Linked DNA regions of Neodiprion lecontei. The protein of the gene in region 2 purifies or fractionates together with the protein of the main gene of each other region. This does not show direct contact. Links are inferred from orthologs where the notes say so. Each region holds a gene or a part of one and is shown on either strand. Other genes may lie near its edges.

The links. Proteins that work in one complex are often made in the same cells at the same time.
Region 1: the proteins of pescadillo homolog (region 2) and nucleolar complex protein 3 homolog purify together in Homo sapiens (affinity purification with mass spectrometry; 3 studies listed by BioGRID and IntAct, counting the BioPlex papers as one, with this or other methods). This does not show direct contact. The link is inferred for Neodiprion lecontei from reciprocal best matches to the Homo sapiens genes PES1 and NOC3L.
Region 3: the proteins of pescadillo homolog (region 2) and ribosome biogenesis protein WDR12 homolog purify together in Homo sapiens (co-immunoprecipitation; 7 studies listed by BioGRID and IntAct, counting the BioPlex papers as one, with this or other methods). This does not show direct contact. The link is inferred for Neodiprion lecontei from reciprocal best matches to the Homo sapiens genes PES1 and WDR12.

What each region holds. Positions count from the first base shown.
Region 1 is NC_060265.1:31,638,509-31,645,997, forward strand, and holds nucleolar complex protein 3 homolog, read left to right. Parts: upstream 1-1,839; 5' UTR 1,840-1,971; coding exon 1,972-1,977; exon of another isoform or gene 1,978-2,960; coding exon 2,961-3,238; exon of another isoform or gene 3,239-3,611; coding exon 3,612-3,900; intron 3,901-4,072; coding exon 4,073-4,364; intron 4,365-4,485; coding exon 4,486-4,820; intron 4,821-4,952; coding exon 4,953-5,323; intron 5,324-5,731; coding exon 5,732-5,896; intron 5,897-5,991; coding exon 5,992-6,349; intron 6,350-6,427; coding exon 6,428-6,525; intron 6,526-6,693; coding exon 6,694-6,922; 3' UTR 6,923-6,942; downstream 6,943-7,489. Other genes in the region: cell growth-regulating nucleolar protein, read right to left, coding at 115-239; ralA-binding protein 1, read right to left, coding at 7,179-7,304. UniProt on the Homo sapiens protein: May be required for adipogenesis.
Region 2 is NC_060262.1:23,171,561-23,179,623, reverse strand, and holds pescadillo homolog, read left to right. Parts: upstream 1-2,094; 5' UTR 2,095-2,231; coding exon 2,232-2,255; intron 2,256-2,367; coding exon 2,368-2,601; intron 2,602-2,703; coding exon 2,704-3,211; intron 3,212-4,918; coding exon 4,919-5,055; intron 5,056-5,151; coding exon 5,152-5,411; intron 5,412-5,953; coding exon 5,954-6,141; intron 6,142-6,209; exon of another isoform or gene 6,210-6,228; coding exon 6,229-6,416; intron 6,417-6,589; coding exon 6,590-6,853; 3' UTR 6,854-7,539; downstream 7,540-8,063. UniProt on the Homo sapiens protein: Component of the PeBoW complex, which is required for maturation of 28S and 5.8S ribosomal RNAs and formation of the 60S ribosome.
Region 3 is NC_060264.1:3,892,693-3,897,486, reverse strand, and holds ribosome biogenesis protein WDR12 homolog, read right to left. Parts: upstream 2,974-4,794; 5' UTR 2,844-2,973; coding exon 2,782-2,843; intron 2,588-2,781; coding exon 2,502-2,587; intron 2,416-2,501; coding exon 2,205-2,415; intron 2,089-2,204; coding exon 1,948-2,088; intron 1,843-1,947; coding exon 1,667-1,842; intron 1,527-1,666; coding exon 1,456-1,526; intron 1,340-1,455; coding exon 1,093-1,339; intron 998-1,092; coding exon 865-997; intron 767-864; coding exon 628-766; 3' UTR 548-627; downstream 1-547. Other genes in the region: WD repeat-containing protein 75, read left to right, coding at 3,525-3,661, 3,734-3,935, 4,024-4,199, 4,441-4,560, 4,650-4,794.

The sequences.
Region 1 (7,489 bases), on a different chromosome or scaffold from region 2:
TACATCATCTAGCACACAGATTATGCAAGGTATATTACAAATTATTCATATTTCTAATTGTATTCTAGTTTTTTTGTTTTATAAATCAGATAAATTCACCCAACTGGAACGTACCGAAAATCTTGGAAACAATCCATGCAACTGACTGAAATGGAATTTCTGCACTTGAATTGAAAGTGTTTTCCGACTTTAGGCTTCTTTATTGCCTCACCACAGTGAGTACACGTGAAAAATACCATTTTTATGGATAAGCACGTGCCGGAGAATCATGAATGCAAGTATTTTTTTCTCCAATTTGCTCTGTCGGGATTTGCTTCGACTGGCAACTGTTGACAGCATAAAAGTAAACTAACCTACAAGTTAAATATACCGTTTTAAAAATGAGCTATAATTGTTGGGTAAAATAAACTCAGGTCGTTGTAAATCATAGGCCTAGTGGTAGATTTACTCACTCGAATTGAGGTTAAATACTGCGTGGTAATCCAAGATGCCAAGCTTCAAGCACGAAGTGAGAGGGAAGGAGACCGAACTCCGATCCCAAAAGTGGGATCAATTTTCCAGCGATGAGTGAGCAGTTCGCTGCGAAGAATAACCGAGATGACAAGTCACGCATGCGCAGTACGATTAGCTGCGTCTTTGTATCTCTCGCGTAAAGTGCGAGTGAGACAGTTTTGTTGTTGTGACAGCAAGTTCATGAGGTTATGGTGCGTAATAATTTCTTGGCATAATGATAGAATCACAAATATCGCTTTATTATTTGCAAAAAAGAAACGTGAATACGCTGCGAAGTCAGAAATCATAGGTGCGTATTTTACGAACGTTGTTTATGGAACTTTAAGCCGTAAATAGTGGAGCATTTGAATCATTCTGGACGTTCTTACAGATATGGAGCAAGTACTTAATGAATTTAATTACACGTATTTGAGGAAAAAGCTATGTGTAAGTATTTTACCAGCACCAAGTTGGGGTTTTACACGAGGAGATCGCACATTTTTTGGTCTACAAAAGATTGAAAAGGATTGCTGTTTTACCAGATATGCACGTTGAAATATACATAGACAATAAAATTTGGCCGCTCTGAGAATGTATTATCCTTGTTAATATGGATCAGTTTATTGTTCTTCTAAACAACGTAGATAAAATGCCTTTGCCAGATCATTAGGATATTGAACAACCATTTTTTACACTCATGCTTTAAATGTAAACAATTTATCAATCATGTTCAATACGAAAATTGTAAATGGTAAATAGGAGAATCAGGATATATACAAGTTTTACATAATAGAAATTCTCAGCTACAGTGATGAGAATTAGGAGATAAGGTTAGGATGTAGAATATAAGGATTCACAAATTAGATATATACATAAAAACGATATTTCTTGCTTGTTGTTGGCAATTTCAATTTATTGTACAATCTGGTAATAAACATAAACAGAAGTATAATTTTGTTTTACCATCACTCTATGATCACGTTACGTACCGAGGGAGCTTTAAACAACGTGTGATTGTTATTTTTGTCTTTATATTTGGTTTTGCACTGCGGTACACGACACGCTGACATCTTACCGTAAAAACTAACCTCACTGTCATAACAAAACTATCTCACTCGCACTTTACGCGAGAGAGATAAGGACGCAGCTAAGTCGTACTGCGCATGCGTGACTCGTCATCTCCGTTATTCTTCGCAGCGAACTGCTCACTTTTTTATCGCTGGAAAATTGATCCCACTTTTGGGATGCGGCCTCGGCAGAGTTCGGTCTCATTCTCTCTTATTTCGTGTTCGGAATACACCCAGCATTGAATGTTGTCCCGCGGTCATCAGCGACATCAGCAGAGATCAGCCTGCTCGTGAGTTAACGATCCCGCGTCGTCCACGTGCTTTGGGTCAATTTTGAAATTCATTGACGCTGGAAGTGGTGTCTGCATAAAAGTAGCATTTACTCTTTCTGTTTGAAAACCATTGTTCTGATATGGGGGTAAGTCAAGTGAATTCAAATATATATTTGCACTATACAATTCTTCTTCACCCGATTGCACAAGGTGACATAACCTAATGGTGCAACGCGCCATACTACACATCTGCTCATTGCATCAAAAATTATATACCGTATTATGGATTCCCGGAAATTCACACTTTCGACACTTGTAGAGAATTGTGATTTCTCACATTTTAGCTTGTTCTTACGTAAATGTTCTTAAAATCAACAGTAATAACTATATTTATGTCTAAGTTAGCTTGAGATGAATTAAAACGTATTTTCCAGAGGTCTTAGAATAGTAAACAAAACCGATTCGTCATAGTACGAGTGCGCGGTATTGAAAATTAGGTACCGATTTTCATTACGGGTTTCGTATTCGGTAGTTTGGGTTAACCGAAATATCGAAATGTCGGTAGACTTTAATCTACAAATATCGTCGGAAAAAAGATTAAGAAAAATCTGTATTGAACTGTACTAAATAACTTTAGGTTATCAGAAACTTCGGTATTCCCGTACCGATACATTTCGAGGAAGGAGATACTGAAATACCGTGCACCCCTACTCCATAGTGTTATAACAAACTGAGACACATATTTTGAATTTTTATTTGCTACTTTACCCTTACTGTTTGATACAAACTTTTCGCACCGTAACATCCATACTTAACAACAGCTCTTTTTGCAATCTGGATCCCAGTGGTCAGAGAATATGCAGCATTTAATAAGTTTGAAGTTAGTAACATTATTATAAGAATGCATGTTGAGGAAAAATCGTTACTTCACACCTTTAGGATTGTTTCAAACTTAGCAAAACATAATTTAAAAAAATATACTCATGTATTGAAAAGCTCGTTGAAAGTTGTTTTAAAATTGGACAATGATGATTTTTTCCCTGATTTTTCATTACATTAATATTAGTAACTTTAGTTCCATAACATTTTAGTGCTTTTATTAATATGCATCTTCTATCATTCTTTCAAGAAAATAGCAAAGTCGAAAATCAGTAAGATAAAAAGGAACAATCAGACGAGGACTAAACTTTCTAAGCAGGGAAAATTGAAGAGCCGTAGAAACCGTAAAACTCAAAAACAGTTGCAACAGCCACCTACAACACTAGTGTCAGAAAATGTTGAAACAGAAGATGAGAGTGATCATGGTGAAGATATGCTTGGAATGGTTGAAAAAGATGACTTGGAATTTTTGAAAAAAGCCGTATCTAACCAGAGTTACAATCTTCTCAACCAAATTACATTAAACCAGTATGTAATTAATCGAAATTCATGTCTTTATATACAATCTTGTGATAAAAACTTGGGTCAGTATTATGGAGTATTAAAAATAAAACGCAATCTCCGTTGGGGATTGAATGGAAAGAAATTCCTGCTAACAAAATTTCTATAATGGAGAAAGATCTTGGGTGATTTCAACATCACCTATTCAGTCAGAAAATTGAAACCATATTGATGTCAGATGATTCATTTTCTCTTTAACAGTCTGTAATTACAATATACTACCATCTTGACATTTTGTTAAATTTAATCTTAATTCATCTCAAAATATATCCAAATTGAAGGAGTCACCCAGCTTGCTCGTACCCTAAACCAAGTCACTTTCTGCATTGTCTTAATCTAGATCAGAACCTGAAATCAAACGAAAACGGAAAAAATCTACAGAACTTGATGATTTAGAGGAGAAGTATGAAAATGCGACAGTCAACACCACAATTACAACCAGTCGTACACGAATGCTCCTGCCCATTAAATCTCAAAATAAATTAATTGAACGGCATATTCCAATAAGTGAAATAGAGAACTTTGATACAGACGAACAATTAAGAATTGAACAGGATCGTAAAAGTAATGGTCTACAATCTGTAGATGAAGAGGAATTGACCGACCAGGAACTAAACCTAGAATATATTGTAAGAAATTACCCAAATCTGAGAATACTGATTAGACAAAGGATAACTGTATTGACATCTATAAGCGATGTAAATCCATTGTAAAAGGGGAAAGTCTTTCAAGACCTGTGGCATATCAGAAGTATGTTTTTATGTAAAAATGCACATGGTATTAAATAACACTTTTTTTCAGGAGGAGGGAAAAATAGATGTAAGTAAACCAGTATCAATGGTAGAATTGTTGGCATGCAGAGAAGAGGTACTTCAATCACGTCGTTTCAAGATCGGAATTTTGTCAAGTGGCCTATTAGAAAATCCTGAACTGAAGGCTGGAAACTTGAAAGTACTTTTGTCACTTATGGAAGAAGAGCATCCAGAAGTTTATATTACCGTTAGGAAATTGGCAATGGTATCCTTGTTGGAAGTATTCAAGGACATTCTACCTTCCTACAGCATTAAACAAATCCCCCAAGATAAAGTTAAATGTATGATACTGATTACTGACCTAGTCCACAATTCAATTTGTCCAAAACACCACATTTTGTTAAATTATTCTATATGATGATATATCATCCTAACCGATACATATAAAATAAAATTTTTTAGTGAAACGGGAGACATTGAATTTACAAAATTATGAAGCAGTAATGTTGAAAAGCTACAAGTTGTACTTACAGAAGCTTGAAAAATTTGCTAGCATGTTGAACGGAAAGAAATTGAACATGAACAAGTTACAAAAGCAGGAAATAATATTGGGAGAAATTGCTATCACTTGTATGTCAGAGCTTTTGATCGCACATCCATATTTCAACTTCTCTGTCAATATTGCTAACCTTTTGGTTCCATACTTGGATAGTAAATGGTCAAATGTAAGGGAGATAGTGGCTAAATGTGTTACTCAGATATTCAAAGAAGATAAACGTGGCGAATTGTCTCTTGTGGTGAGAGTTTGTATGATAAAATTAATCTATCATTGAAATATAAAAAATAGATACGGAAATTTTTCTGAGTCTTGTTCAAAATTTATTAACGCTAGTACTTTGCCAGTCTTTATCTGTTTGTGCCTTTTACAGATTGTGCGTCGAATAAATCAATATATAAAAACTAGGGGTCACTCAGTTTATGTGGAATTATTGACCGTACTGTTGGTTCTGAAAATTTCTGATATAAATTTGGATAAGGGCAAAGAGGAAGAATTGAAACAGAAGAAACTCCAGATGCATAAGCAGAAATTAATTTCTATGAGTAAACGAGAACGGAAGAGAAAAAAGAAGCTAGAACAAGTTGAAAAAGAGATGATTGAGACTAAAGCGGAAGAGAATAAACAGAGCAAGCAACGGGTGTTGACCGATATAACCAGTATAGTATTTACTATTTACTTCCGCATTCTGAAGCAAATCCCAACGGGCAAAATTTTGTCTGTAACGTTACAAGGATTAGCTAAGTATGTTTTCATCCAAGCACAAATTGCTGCGTCATTTTTTCTCACAAAATAAAGTATCTTAGGGGTAGAGATAAGACATCTTTGAGCCAGTTCAAATTTGATAGGCGAAGACAGACCAAGCAGGGAGGAATATGCATACAAATACACCAACTATGTAAAGTGCTATTGCCGACTAATTTTTGGGTTGATAATAACAAAGCCTTTTACATTTGAATGCTCAAGAGGCACCAGGACCTAAGTACAGCAAGTGCATCTACATACCCCTCTAATTGGTCCCCCTTCCCAATCAGAAAGACGTGATTTATGTTCTTAAAGTGGTATAAAGAAAGAATTAGACTTTACTGCATTATTTAAACTGGGCTTGTTCAAGTGGTGTGATGCGAAAGAACATTTATTTACTTTTTGTAGGTTTGCACACAGCATTAATATAGAGTTCTATCAAGATTTAGTTAATGTTCTGAATCGATTATTGGAAGGTAATACCTTAACTTTGAGAGAGCAACTATATTGCATTGAAACTGTCTTTGTTATTTTATCTGGACAAGGGGAGGCATTGAACATTGATCCATCAAGGTAATTATGAGCTGCAAAAATAGTTCACTTGTGATCCACGCATAACAATATCAAAGGACTAAATGCGGAAAAATTATTTGATTTTTGTTTTTCAGGTTTTATTCACACCTCTATAGAAACTTACTTGGTATTCATGCGGGTAAAAATCATGCGGATTTAATAATTATTTTACGAACGCTTGGTAACATTTTGATAAAAAAACGTAAGAACATCTCACAGAATCGACTTATTGCCTTTCTGAAACGAATAAGTATTTTGGCACTACAATTAGAACACAATGGTACGCTTGGGATACTAGCTATCATCAAAATAGTGATGCAACTTGGAAAAGCCACTGACATTTTACTGGACACAGATTCCTCCATAGGAGAAGGTTTCTATGATTCGGTGCTGAATGAACCTGAATACTGCAATGCTCAACGTTCAGCTTTTTGGGAACTGGTTCCTTTACAAGTAAACTTAAAAGAAATAGCATTTTTCAGCACAAATTGGTGATTATACGTCTGTTGATTCAATACCATTCACTTTCAGAGGCACTATCATCCAATGGTGCAAAAAATGGCGAAAAATATTGCAAGAGGAGTTCCTACAAGTGGAGAGGGCAGTCTAGAGCCAGAATTTGGGAAATTGTGAGTACGAGGCATGATTCTATATGCAGAGACAATTTACTATATTTAAACAAGAACCACTTTTGATGATCCACTTTTGATGATAGTTTCAAAGTGTGCTTTCAAAACATTTTCTGATAATAATAGTAGGAATTAATTTTTTAACATATTCTTGTCCTCCATTTTAAGATCTCCAGTGGAGCTCTTTGACGAATACAAAACAACAGGGGTTATGTTCAAGCCTGCTGTTACTAAACCCAAAAAAGTAATATCGGTGAAATTTTATGGCTACAATCACCATATAACGAAACGTTACGAGGATTATTTCGAAGATATTTTCCAACATTCGCGTCAGAATGATACAGCTCCGGATTTTCATGGGTCTTTCAAATTGAAGAATTTTAAATGTATACAATAATAAATGATTTTGCACGATAATGCGACTTCTCTATAAATATTATATTAATGTATAGACATGAGGGCTGATTGTTCAATTGCCCAAGTAAAATTCACCCACTACTTGAAAACTAACTATAATATACTGATTGTTGAAGGCCTTCTAATAGCATCACAAAGGTATGTCAAAGACACATGAGAGTCAGGTCGGTTTATATTGTATGCTGGTTTAAGAAACATCTTCATAAATCAATTTATTGTCATTACCTTAGAAACCATTAAATTTTTTTTGCAGCAAGCATACAGTCTTGATCTGAAAGTTGTTGTATCAGGAACTGTGCACGTAATTCCACGCAAGCTATATTTTCTTCAATAATAGTTCTCACAAGTGTGGCCTTTTTTTTCTAAAACAATAATTAATAACATATAGACAGGTCATACTTATTTTATACGACCAAAGTATAAGGCTGCAAAATTTTAAGCTCGGGAGTAGTTTTTTGTGGATGATCCAGTCTTAAGATTCATGAAATATTGTTATAGAATTTCATACTTTTCGAAATAAATATTAAAAAGAATATAAATTTTTATT
Region 2 (8,063 bases):
GACTTTAGCTAATTTACTGAAATTAATTCACCTCTCAAGCATGGATATCGGAAATTATGTCCATGCTCTTACGATCTTATTATCAGAACTCAGTATAAGTGAGAACTTGTGTTTTCTATCATGCTCAGTCGATTAAAACTTTGGGTATTCATAATGAACATAATGATGGACCTGATCTGTTCAGATTCGGTAATTTTTTTTTTATTTAAAAAAAAATTACATATTTCAAGAGGATGTGGTGCAAATTGTAAGACGTGACAATAAAATTTGATAAAAATAATCCTGACAAATTAACGGGTGTAAAAACTGAACAAAATTGAGGGATGATTGAGATTGAAGAATCAGGAAAACAATCGTAAAGTGAATCAAAAATCGTGAGGTAAAATCATTGGTCGAGTTGACAATGGAAAGCTCTGTATGTATATGAATTTAAAAAAAAGTAATACAAATAGTACAGCACCTACAGCACTGATTTTCTGTCTAGAGGCTGGTAAAATGGCCTGACAGCAGGTAGGAGTTATTTAGGGATTTTTAGGGGGAACCAGAGAACGCCTAGGAGGAAGTCACATGGGCCATTTGCATGGAAAGTGTTTAGTTCCCATGTGTATGTACTTCCCACAAACGATTTTGAATGGAGGTAAGACACAAGCTTCAAGATATGAAATTTGTCCACAGAGTAACTTTACTACCCTCATGGCGTGTTCCTTGTCTATCGAATTGGTCGATTACTCTGACAGGCTTCATATCAGAAAGAGGAATTAGATTACTTTTTGTCACGTAATATCAACCAAGATTGTTTGGAGAAATTCTTTGCTTTAGTCGCAGTCATGGTTGCCACAACGTGAATCCAACTTGTTGACAATTTGTTGGCACATACAAGTCCCTCCTTGTCAGTAATTTCAATTCGCATCGTTCATTGAGTGCGAACTGTGTAGACGACAAGGGAAGTATACTGCTCAATTTAGTCCACATATTGGAGGATCATAGCGATAACAACCATGACGAACCGGTAGATTGCTTAGATGATGCGCTCCACCTGCCCGATGAAAGTAATATCCAACGATAGGTCCCACAGTCCATAGTGACAAAGACTGTGTGTGATTATATAGCAGGATATGTAGCACGCAGGCTTTTGAAATTTTTGCAAGTCTGTTCAGAGTGCAAATCGACCATCCTGGCAATGGAACCTTTGCCAGATTTGCATGGAGAATTAGAAAGTAAAGTGTTTGATGAAGAGATATATGTTTTGAAGTACGTTAGCAACAATTGTTTAACTTCCTTCCAAAAATTTTATTAAATCATCCGTAGTCTGCTTCTATCGATTAGTTTTAGAAGAAATTTGTTAAAAAACCTCAAAGCAAAAGTGGATGAAAAAAATGTCTCAGGTGGCTTGGTTGCTCTGCTCATGCCTTGAAAGTAAAGAATAATTTTAAACAATTTTCCATGTCCCTAGACATCAATACATTCTGTACAGCTGTAAGTAAAATTTTAAATCATAAAGATGCAGTACTAATAAATTCTTTAGACAAGCACGGATACATCGCGAAAAACACTTCAAATCAATTTTACAGTAAAGAATACGTGTCAGTTAACAAACATTGTAAAATCTTGATAAATTCACTATCCGACTTCTTTCTCTTTGTATAAATTGTATATAATTTGTATTTCTGCATTATAATTTTATTTGTAATTTTGACTTAATTACCATTACCTGTATTTCGTTGATAACTATTGCGTTACTTGTATTTTAGATTCACTTAAGATTTTTATACTTGCACCACAAACTGACCAGAGTTTTTGCTTTCTGCTTTTAGTCCATCTTTTTAATTCAACTGTACTTTATTTGACAATAAATGAAATATTTTTAAATTCTAAGTAACTGATTAAATTTATTCAAAGCGATGATGAATACAAGTCGTTTACAAGTGGTGTCAGTTCGTCCTGAAAAAAGGATCAAACTGATCATACCACTTGTATTCTCAACCCCTATTTAAACACATTGATTCAGAGATTTGAAAACTCTGCCATTCGAAGTTTATCGTTAGTACATTGAAGCAGCGCGCAGTGTGACGCACGAATTCGGCAACAGTTTCGATACACGGGAGTCAAGCACGGGAGTAGCGAGAGATAACAAGTTGCTCGTATTGGCACGTGTGAAGTGTGTCAATACAAGAATTGGATCTTTTTTATGAGGAAATATTAACCATTGAAAACAACAGATCGTTGAGAGAATGGTCGTAATAGGAAAGAAAAAGGTAGATATATAAATCACACAAATTTAATCTCGAAAACGTACATCTTACCTCCTTTTCTAACGCTTAACATTTTTGAGGTTATTTCTCCATGCTTGTCTGATGCTTTTCACAGTACCAATCCGGTGAGGGTGCTCAGTTTTTATCACGGAGATCAGCTCTAAAGAAACTTCAGCTTTCATTGAAAGACTTTCGGAAACTATGCATATTGAAAGGAATTTATCCCCGGGAACCTCGTAACAGGAAGCGAGCCCAACATGGAGATACAAGTATTAAAACCTTATACCACAAAAAAGACATACAATTCCTCATGCACGAGCCTATAATATGGAAATTTCGAGAATTTAAGGTAAGTGAAATTATCACCCTATATACCGGGTCGCTGCATTACATGGCAAGTGTTTGAGTACTTTTTTATTTGTTTCATAATCTTGATTAATTCTTCTTACAGATATTCAACCGAAAAGTTGGCCGAGCTAAAGCAATGAAGGAATTCGGTGCTTTGAGACGGTATTTAAATAATCATCCGCAGCTGAAGCTAGATCACATTGTAAAAGAACGTTACCCAACATTCATAGATGCATTGAGAGATCTTGATGATTGTCTCACGCTATGTTTCTTGTTCAGCACATTTCCTTCTATAGCTCACGTGCCACGTGAGCACTCACTTTTATGCAGGAGATTAACCGTCGAGTTTTTGCATGCTGTTATAGCAGCTAAAGCACTTCGAAAGGTTTTCGTTTCGATCAAAGGCTTTTACTACCAAGCTGAAATCAAGGGGCAAACAATCACATGGATAGTGCCACACCACTTTTCTTTTGAACCACAGTCCAAAAATGAAGTCGACTTCAAAGTGATGTCAACGTTCGTTGAGTTTTACGTTGTTATGTTGGGTTTCGTCAACTTCAAGCTATATCATGATTTGAACATGTTTTATCCACCAAAATTCAACAGTCCAGGTAAGAATTGATAATGTAAACTAATATTTAAATAACACAAAGAAACGCATTATTTTTTATGACTGTCCTGTAACTAACAAGGAGAGGTCACTCATTAAGGAAAGTTTATTCCAATTAAACTTACCGTAACAGTGAATCAAAATTTAAGACATTAAAGTTAGTAACGTTAAAGTAATCGAATATGGGAAAATATTTTATTATTTTGCAGCCTTAGACTTGCTTTGAAGGTATTTAAGTCTACAAAACATGAGTATGTTTTGCTTCCATATGATTTAGTGAATCTCAGATACTCCTAAAATTGTGAAATACTGATTTATCATGGAAATGCATCGCCACATTAATGTTTCGAAGATCAAGCTTATTAAAATGCTGGTTCCTGCGTGACAATTCTCATACTTCTATTGTACCCATGGCGTGTTTTGAACAGTTAAACTTGTAGCACCTTTGGCCCTGTATAAAAACTATAAAACTTTCCATTGCTGCAGTTACCTTCAAACCTTTGAAATTGTTGTAGAAAAGGTACAAGTAGATCAAAATGAAACATGAATTGTGCTATGTCCACGTGTAAAGCTTAAAATCCAAATGATGAACACCAGTATAGCTTAACATTTATTGTCGTAGCACTTTCAGAATAAGAAACCATATAAATGGAATGGGAGTAAGATTCTGGGAATCGATAAAACGAGGTAAAAGCAGTGAAAGTGGCATATTTGGTAATACAGTAAAACCTCGTTTATACGTTTGCGAAGGGATATGACAATTATGATGCTTCTATGTTTGTATTAACGCACGGACAAAAATTTACTGTAGAAAGTTTAGTAGAAATGTGATAGTTTGACTTATATTAACGTATCCGTACACCGAAAGTTGTGCAAGAGTTACAATAGAAAATTGGGAAAATTTCAACAAGTATTATAACCGAAACACCAATTTTATTACACTCACTAATATGATTGCGATAGGTTTTGCTTTTATTGCTGTTTATCCTCAAACTATCGTATTTCGATTGTAGCATCTATGTGATAAAATTTATTCCATGTTTTTTTATCGATTAGAAATTCCTACAATAGGCGCATAGAATATTAAAACGCAAGTTTGTAATGAGAGATTAGTTGTAATTAATGTTCGGGTGAAGGGAAAAGAGTGCTCTATACCGGAATAAATGATACATAGGTGTGAAAAATATCAAAATGAATTACTTATGAGTGAAATTTTACATGTGGTCTGCAAGCAAAAACTACCGGGACTGAAGGAATTTAATGCACAAGTGAAATGACATACAAGTGAGAAACGTATAAACGAGGTTTCAAAGAAATGCAGGATAGTAGAATTCATAACCCTGGTGAATAAACTATTATTATATAAACAAGGTTCGTCGTTCGGTGTCTTAGTATTTTTATGTGTCCCTTAAAAGTCATGAACAATTGCTTTTATCCAACTGTTCGGTTTCATCATCTTGAGGATACTATCCATGTTAAAAAAATTATCAATAAGCATTGCAGCCAATTTGCCTGAGGGTGCTTTTATAATGTTCTCGATCTTAAAAAGTAATGGAGAATTAATTTGAGATCTTTTGTTTGAAGTACATGATAGAAAATTGTAGTTTTGCTTAGCATCATGCGCTCTTGAGCACTTCGTTTGTTATGGTGACCCATAATTCTGGCATAAGTATTTGAATTCAACGATTAATTACTGATTTTTTCAAAGGAAGTACCGATACGAAATTAGTGGATGAAGAAGTATATGTGTCTGAAAGAATTGCTGCACTGAACTCGCCATTGTCCAGTGTTAACAATGCGACTCCAGCACCAGAAGAAGAGCTGGATACGGATCAATTTCCGACAGTTCGTTTCTTTATTATACATCTGTGAAGTAAATGAATACGTACTTACACACGGACTGCAGTTATTAAATCATCTCTGATTCAAAACTTGTTTTAGGAAGCTGACCCTTCTCAACTTGAATTATCAAGAATTGAAGTAGAAAAAGTAAAGAAACTAAAAACCCTATTCAAAGGTTTAAAATTCTTTGTGAACAGAGAAGTCCCCAGAGAACCCCTTGTATTTGTATTGAGGTGTTTTGGAGGAGAAGTATCCTGGGATAAAATGCTATTCGTAGGTTCCACCTTTGATGAAAGTAATGAAAGTATTACGCATCAAATTGTGGACAGGCCAAGCATGACAAAGCAATATATCTCCAGGTAAAATTAAATAAAGTTCGTCAGAAAGATAACACGCTTATGAAAAAATAAAGTCAATAAAAGTTGTATACATACAATTTACATCTCTTATTTGATTGAGTTATTTGCCATGCATTTTGTCTAGTAAATTGTAACACTCTTGATAATGATACTGAGAAAATCAATGTTTTACAAATCCACGTTGCAATTGTCAGAGCTTTCAAAAAAAAAATATCCATACATACCATCATAAATTTTTCAATTGTTGATTATATGCTTGGGAAGATAGTTTAGAAATGTAGAAAGGTTTACATATGAATTTCAAGGTATTGATAAGTTCTTTAAAAAATTAGTGAATAGGTTTGTGAATTTGAAAACTAATTTTTTTGTACTAACTGGTGTGCATCTTGACTGCTACTTACACTGTCGCACTCCGTATGAGGTGTTAATCCGGCATTGAAAGTTTCGATATGCAGTGCAAATTACAGCTTAATAGGCGAAATTTACAGTAGAAATATATACAAAATAAAACATTCTATATACCAATGACAAAAAATTTTTAGGTACTACATTCAACCGCAATGGGTGTTTGATTCTGTAAATGCTAGACAACTTTTACCCGTCGAGAATTATTTGATGGGTAGTGTGCTTCCTCCGCATCTTTCACCATTTACAGACATGCTGCGAGATCAAACATATATCCCGCCCGAACAACGCGCTTTACTCGACCCAGAATTTAAAGTGAAAACAGGTAAATAAAATGAAAAATCAGAATTCTCTCAAGGCTCAGCGCATATCACAGTCATATATGGTACTTACTTGTAAACTTTTATCGAAGCTAAAGATGACAGCGAAGAATCGGAAGCAGAAGAGGAAGGAGATGATCAACCAGAGATAGAACAAGCGGAAACGATTCTTGAAGGTGAAAGTGCAGAGGCCACAGAGAATGATATCTCAGAGGAGGAACCTGAAATCACAGTAACAAAAACGAATGACAGCGAATCAGAGCAAGAGAGATTGAAAAAGGTAATGTGCAAAGGAGCGTATTAAAACTATTCCCGCGAATTTCTTTTCGCATTAAAATTGCAGTGATGTTTGAATGTATATCTCAGATGATGGTACTAGAAAATTTTCTGGGAAATTTCCTACAATGATAGGAAGGTAATTCTAGTGCAATACGAATATTGATTCTTTCGCAGAAAAAGGGAATGGTGGTGCAACAGGGTCAATTGACCAGGGAAAATCCATGGGAGAAGAATCGTATTGAGAAACAGGAATACCGTCTCAGGGAGAAAATGATAAAAAAGAAACATAGGAATTTGTACAAGAGTATGATGCAAGGAAAAGAGGACAGAGCAAAAGAGATTTGGCTACTTAGGAAAAAACGACGCATCCACGATTCTACAGAAAAAGAGAAACGTAAACAGATGCGAAAAGAGGGGAAAATTAAAAATACGGCATGAATTCGATCGGAAATATCCATACGTCTTATTGTGAAGAGAAAACGGCAATAACTACAATTATCCAAATTAGCTATTATAGTGTTACCGGAATTTAATTACATGTTCACACTTAAACTCGAACTGTATGCAGTTGTTTCATGTGTTTACATATACGTATGTGTATCGTGTGTTTAGTACATAACGATACGATATATGTATGTAATGCTTCATGATAGCTAAAATAAAGATTTTTATGAATTGCACTGTAATGATGAGAAGATTAGATCTGTCACGTGAAGCGAATCAGCCATCCCTCAAATACTTTTATGATGTTGATTCTACTTGAGGAGTTGGACTTTGCTGCGAAAGAATTGGTAAAATAATATGGATGTAATTCTATCGTAATAATAAAAGGTAAATTAATAGAGTTGCAATTTATCAGGCGTTAGAAAATTGGTGCTCGATTTTTTTAAATACGTAAACGAAATAAAAACTTTGTTGCTAATATTGCTTTTGGGCGAATACTATTCTGTTCATTATACAGTAATTTTCATTAATGCTTTGGGATTTCGGCTAACTTATTTTCCGTCCGAAAAAAAATGCAGGCTCGATTCTACACGAATTGTGTGACAATGATTCCCAATCTCTCACTTTGGCTGCATCGCCGGTCATTGTCACATAACCGAGCACGCATTTTGTTTTGGACCGAAAACAAATTAGCCGGCAGCCCAAGGCATTAATGAATATTACTGTACACAGATGATACAATAAATTTGCAAAATACAGACTGAATTCAAAATAGCGAGTTCTTCATTCGTTTGTTTAAGAATTCTTTTATAACACATGGATTTAGACGCTTGAGAAATCTACACGTATTAGTTCGGTATTCAGAGTCTTACCAATTAATTTCAAAGACCCGTTTTGCTCCGCATTAAGAAGGGTCTATATTAATTACAGGATAACCCAAATTTCAGTGGCACCTTCGTTGCTTCTCAAATCAAACTTTCCTTTACAGGTATTGGAAAAATAGCGGGCGGATGGGGGATATTCGACTCGAGTGATTATCACACTAGTATTCGTACGATGCAACATTCGTATTCGCGTGAACGTAGCACTCGCCTTCGGCTCACGCTGCAAACTTCACACTTGTCAGAAATAGCACACTTTTCAATAAGTGTGAAGTTTGCAGCATGAGCCGTCAAGGCAGCCTGAGTAATGAATATATTCAAAC
Region 3 (4,794 bases), on a different chromosome or scaffold from region 2:
AAACAGATAGGGAGAAAGAATGAAAGAGAGAGAACGAGAGCGCTGAAGTAATTGGAGAGTGTGCGGCGTGTGTGGGTGTTTGGTGCGTTATCACCTAATTGGAGATTACGAGCGCGCCTTTACTCCCAACAAACCATCATCTGCCTATTACACGAACACGGACTGCAGACACACTGTTACTGTAAACTGCACACTGCAGGTGCATGCTCTGTGGAATGTTCTTATTAAAGAGCATGCGCCGATCAGTCTTAGAGTTACTTACAAAATATGGTTTGGTATTTTTCAAATGAAAAAATCAAATTCCTAATTATTATTATCCCTTATTTTTGATCAATAAAAGATCTGTTTTGGGGATTTTGTTGAATTTTCATTCATTAATGTTCGATTTCCTCTTCTTCCTATCCAGTTGAGAGTATTGTTCTCTTATGCAAAAGTCTCTGTCTCGCTTTTGTAAAGACAAAAATCAATTTTTTTCTTGTTATTTACCCTTTTGCAACAGTGTCTTTGCGGAGTAGAATAATTTTATACGTAAAGTACGAGAATTAAGTTTCATATTCCAACAACTTAAGTTTTTATTTAAAATTTATATTTTTTGAATAATTTACAAATGTTGATTTTTAGACATTATCAACCAATCGCGTGTTTCGACTTGAATATCCTAACAGTGTTGTCGGCCCCGCCAGATACCATGAATTTTGGATTGGACCAGTTGCAGCAGAGAACTTTGTCATCGTGTCCAGAAAGATCAAATAACGGTGCTTTGGGACTGTAAGAAGAATGGGAAAGGTAATATCGACACCACATAAAATGAAGTTCACGTTTATTAATCATGTCTAAGAATGTGTAGAGACTTTATGCACAAACCTTCGAGTATCCCAAAGCTTCACCTGGTTATCGTATGCTCCAGACAGAAAAAGGTATTGATCAGTCGTTGACCAGAAGACAGACTGCACCCATTGCGTGTGTGAAGTGAAAGTTCCCTTGACCACTGATCCCTCTGAAAAAAAAAAAAATATAATGCCAACGTTAGCAAACATCAACGATCATGAATATCCGAGTGATTTTACTACGTGGCATAGATTTCATCCTCACCTGACGATCTTGGGTCGTATAATCTGATATGCCTGTCGGCTGAGGCGGTGAGGAGAGCGTTAGCTAACGGCGAATATGCAACATCAAAGAAGCTCTTATTCCCTGGAATTTCATGCTTGATTCCACCAAGTTCTGTATCCCAAATTTTTAGCGTGTGATCCCATGACGACGTTACTATTTCAGATTTATCTGACCAGACTACACCACTAATTGCCTCTTTGTGGCCTTTCATCGTTATTTCTGGCGTCTGAAATTGCCCGAATTATATTGTTGATAAAAAAAAACTGGCCTGGTAAGTTTTACTGTATTTTTTATTCTCAATCATATAGTGAACATAATCAAATTTGCCATACAGATACTCACTCTAACTTTACCATGATCTGTTTTCAGCTTCTTTGAGGCAGACTCACCGTCATTGTTTCGATCGTCGACAGCTGTAAGAAAGAGTTTGATTTATGTGATTATTAATCGTATTAAAAAGATGTACAAGATCAGTTGCAAATATTGTTCAGTTCAAAGCCCTAAGTTAATTCATCAAATAACTCTCGTTCAGAATGCACCTCTTCGAACTTACAGGTGGACCAAATCTTCAGCATTGTATCCCATGATCCCGTGGCGATCAGTGTGGCATTATGATTGACTGCAATGTCTTCCAGCCCGCGTTCATGTCCACGACAAATTTGAACGCATTCTATTGAGTTACTTCTGATGTTCCAATCCCATAAAATGGCAGTTTGGTCTTGCGATGCACTGCAAGGAGCAAGAGATTAATGTGTTATTGTATTATATCTCATTAATTTATTGCAAGTAGATTTGTAGCGATAACATGAACGTTGTGTACTTCGCTTATAGTACCTAACAAACGTCGCCCTCTCATTGTCTAATGTTATCCAAGCCACTGCTTTAATGGGCGATGTGTGTCCTGGAATTGTGAGGTGATGTTTTCCTTTCGTATTCCAGATGTGCACGGTATTGTCGTAACATCCCGTCAGTATCCTGTAATTGGTGGAAAAAGTAGCAAATTACTACTGCTTTGTTATGTGTGAGTAAATTTCCCTAGCCAAAAAGTCTGTAATTTTGAAAACGTTGATGTAAAAATTGAAAACACTTGCCAGTTCTCTCTTACAGCAACTGCTGACACCCAGTCATCGTGTATGAGACAGTCTTGGGGTTCCGGAGGAGGATGCCGCTCCACATACTCGACTGAAACGACTTCCTCAGTCGTTACTCCACGCTCATTGATATGCTCGGCTAACGAGGTGCGCAGGAACTCATTGCAGACAAGAAAATCAAACTCTACAGTTGCAGTGGAGTCTGCAGATTCTGTATAACATTTGTTAATGAATCAGATTTGCAGTACAATATTTCTACAACAGATACGAGCTTTTCCAAAGTTCAGGAAATCTCACCTCTTAAAAGTTCATTGAGTATAGTATTCAGTTGATCAGTGAAAACTGTTGATGGCACAGACAATGGATAGTCTGGAACAGCGTACCTGAAAATCGAATTTGTGTAGATACAAAACAGTGAAATTTATATTGGCATTGTTTTAAAAGTATCAAATTTCTATATCCAGTTTACAAGAGTCTGCAGTACAGCCGACAGCCGTTTGTTCCACGTGTTTAGCTTTCACATCAAAAACCTGACTGAGCAAAACGTGTGTTCATACTCATATTTTTATATACTCACTGTTCTTGTTTCGTGGTGAAGCGTATTTGGATTTGCGGAACGTCGTCATCGACACTTGCCATCGCGACGGTATGCTATTGAAACTGTGAAATAACTGATGAAATGATTATTAAGTTAAAGCCGCTCCGTTCCTATTGTCAACCAACAATTTCGATCTAACTTAACCTTGTAACATACAACTATCATGTACAGAAAATGCGTAGGAGGAGTGAGGATACCCTCGTCACAGCTTGTCTCTCTCGCTCTACATTTGATTGGCAGATACGCTTCCTTTCAGCCAATCAGATGCGGAGTGAGAGAGACAGGCTATAACCAGTATGCCCGGGTATATACCTCGCTCTCTTATCACTTCGACTGCAATTTTCACGATGTGACGGCATGGGCGGCTACGTCCAGTAGTACGTATATGCTCTAAGAACCTAACCTATCTCAACTTAAAGCCGAAATTTTATTTCAGCGACAAGAAATTGCAGCGATGCGTTGGCGTATCAACCAATAACGGACTCGGATTTCTGTCAAACATCGATGTCGCCGTGGTGTAATTCCGGCCTAATCCAACCTAGCATTCCGGTTAACGTAGTTCGGCACGTGGTGAATTTTAAATAAGAATGTATGTAACAATTGTAGGATTAATGAAGGAACCGAATACTACGGGAGAAATTAAGAGATTACCGTTATTCAGTGTGAGAAACTTGCTTTAATCTAACCTTATACTCACAATCAGTGTAACGACAGTGTCAAACATGCGAATGAAGCGATCGACTGGGCCGAAATCGGGTACTCCGAAGAAAAAACCGCAGGAGGAAAATGACTTGACCGTGAAAAGGATCGGCGGCGGAAGCATAATCGATCACCGTCCGTTATTTTCCCATGATGGAGAGTAAGTCAAACATAAACCTATGCCTCTGATACTTTGATGGATGATTATCTAACCTCAAATTTAATTCTTTAGGTTATTATTTGTCGTTTGGAAGCATTCAATTAGAGCCTACAGCACTAGGACCGGAGATCTGGTCAGAGAATTTGAAGGAATTGAACACAAGATCGCAGGAATATCTTCGCACCCTGACAACAGAGATGTAGTTTTAGCTTGCTCAGACGTCGGTGAACTGATATATTGGAACTGCTACAAGGGTCTGATAATAAAAAAAACAGTATGTGTTCCAGAAAAATTCTCAATCAGTTTTTGTTCTCTTAATACCGGCTCATCATGGATTAACAATTTTCTGAAACAATTCGCAGAATCTTCAAGTTGATGATCGTGATGCAAAAATTAGGACATTTCATATTGTCAGATATCGGACAAGTGATGGAAGTAACGTTACCCAAGCGCTGGTCACCTATCTTATCGAAAGGAAAATTCATGTGAAATTGTTTGGTGTAGAGAACGGCAAAATCGCTCTACGAACTAAATTAGGGTACGCTATTTTACTTGAAACTTATCACTTTTTTTCTCTGCACTACATCATGTACATTGGAAATCAACCATGCTTGGGAGAGCAAAGAAAATTTATATTCTTTCATTTCAACCACAAGGAAAACAGAGTATCATACATATCCGTTGCACTAAAATCTCTTATTGCTAATGTAATAATTTAATTTGAAATATACATTTCTTCAGCATACCTCTCTGAATATCCAGAATTTTTACATTTTCAGCTCCATTTCTGATGAATATTATGTTGATGTTGTTGGGAGAGCTGGTGAACACTTAGTTGCTGTTGCGGAAGATGTTAATTTGCACATATTGAATCCTGCAGAGGATTTTGAAGGGATTTTGTAAGTATCGTGCCTATTATTTTGCAGTTGCTGATGGTACTAAATTTTTTCACCACATTTTACTCTTCTGTCATTTACTTTCTCCATAGACATAAAACGGGCAGACGGTGTACAGCTGTTGCTGGGCACCCTGACAGAGAATGTCTAGCCACCGGGGACTCGAGTGGCCGAATTTTAGTCTGGTTAAACATTCAACAACGTATGGTAATCAAGGCCACTTATCACTGGCACACA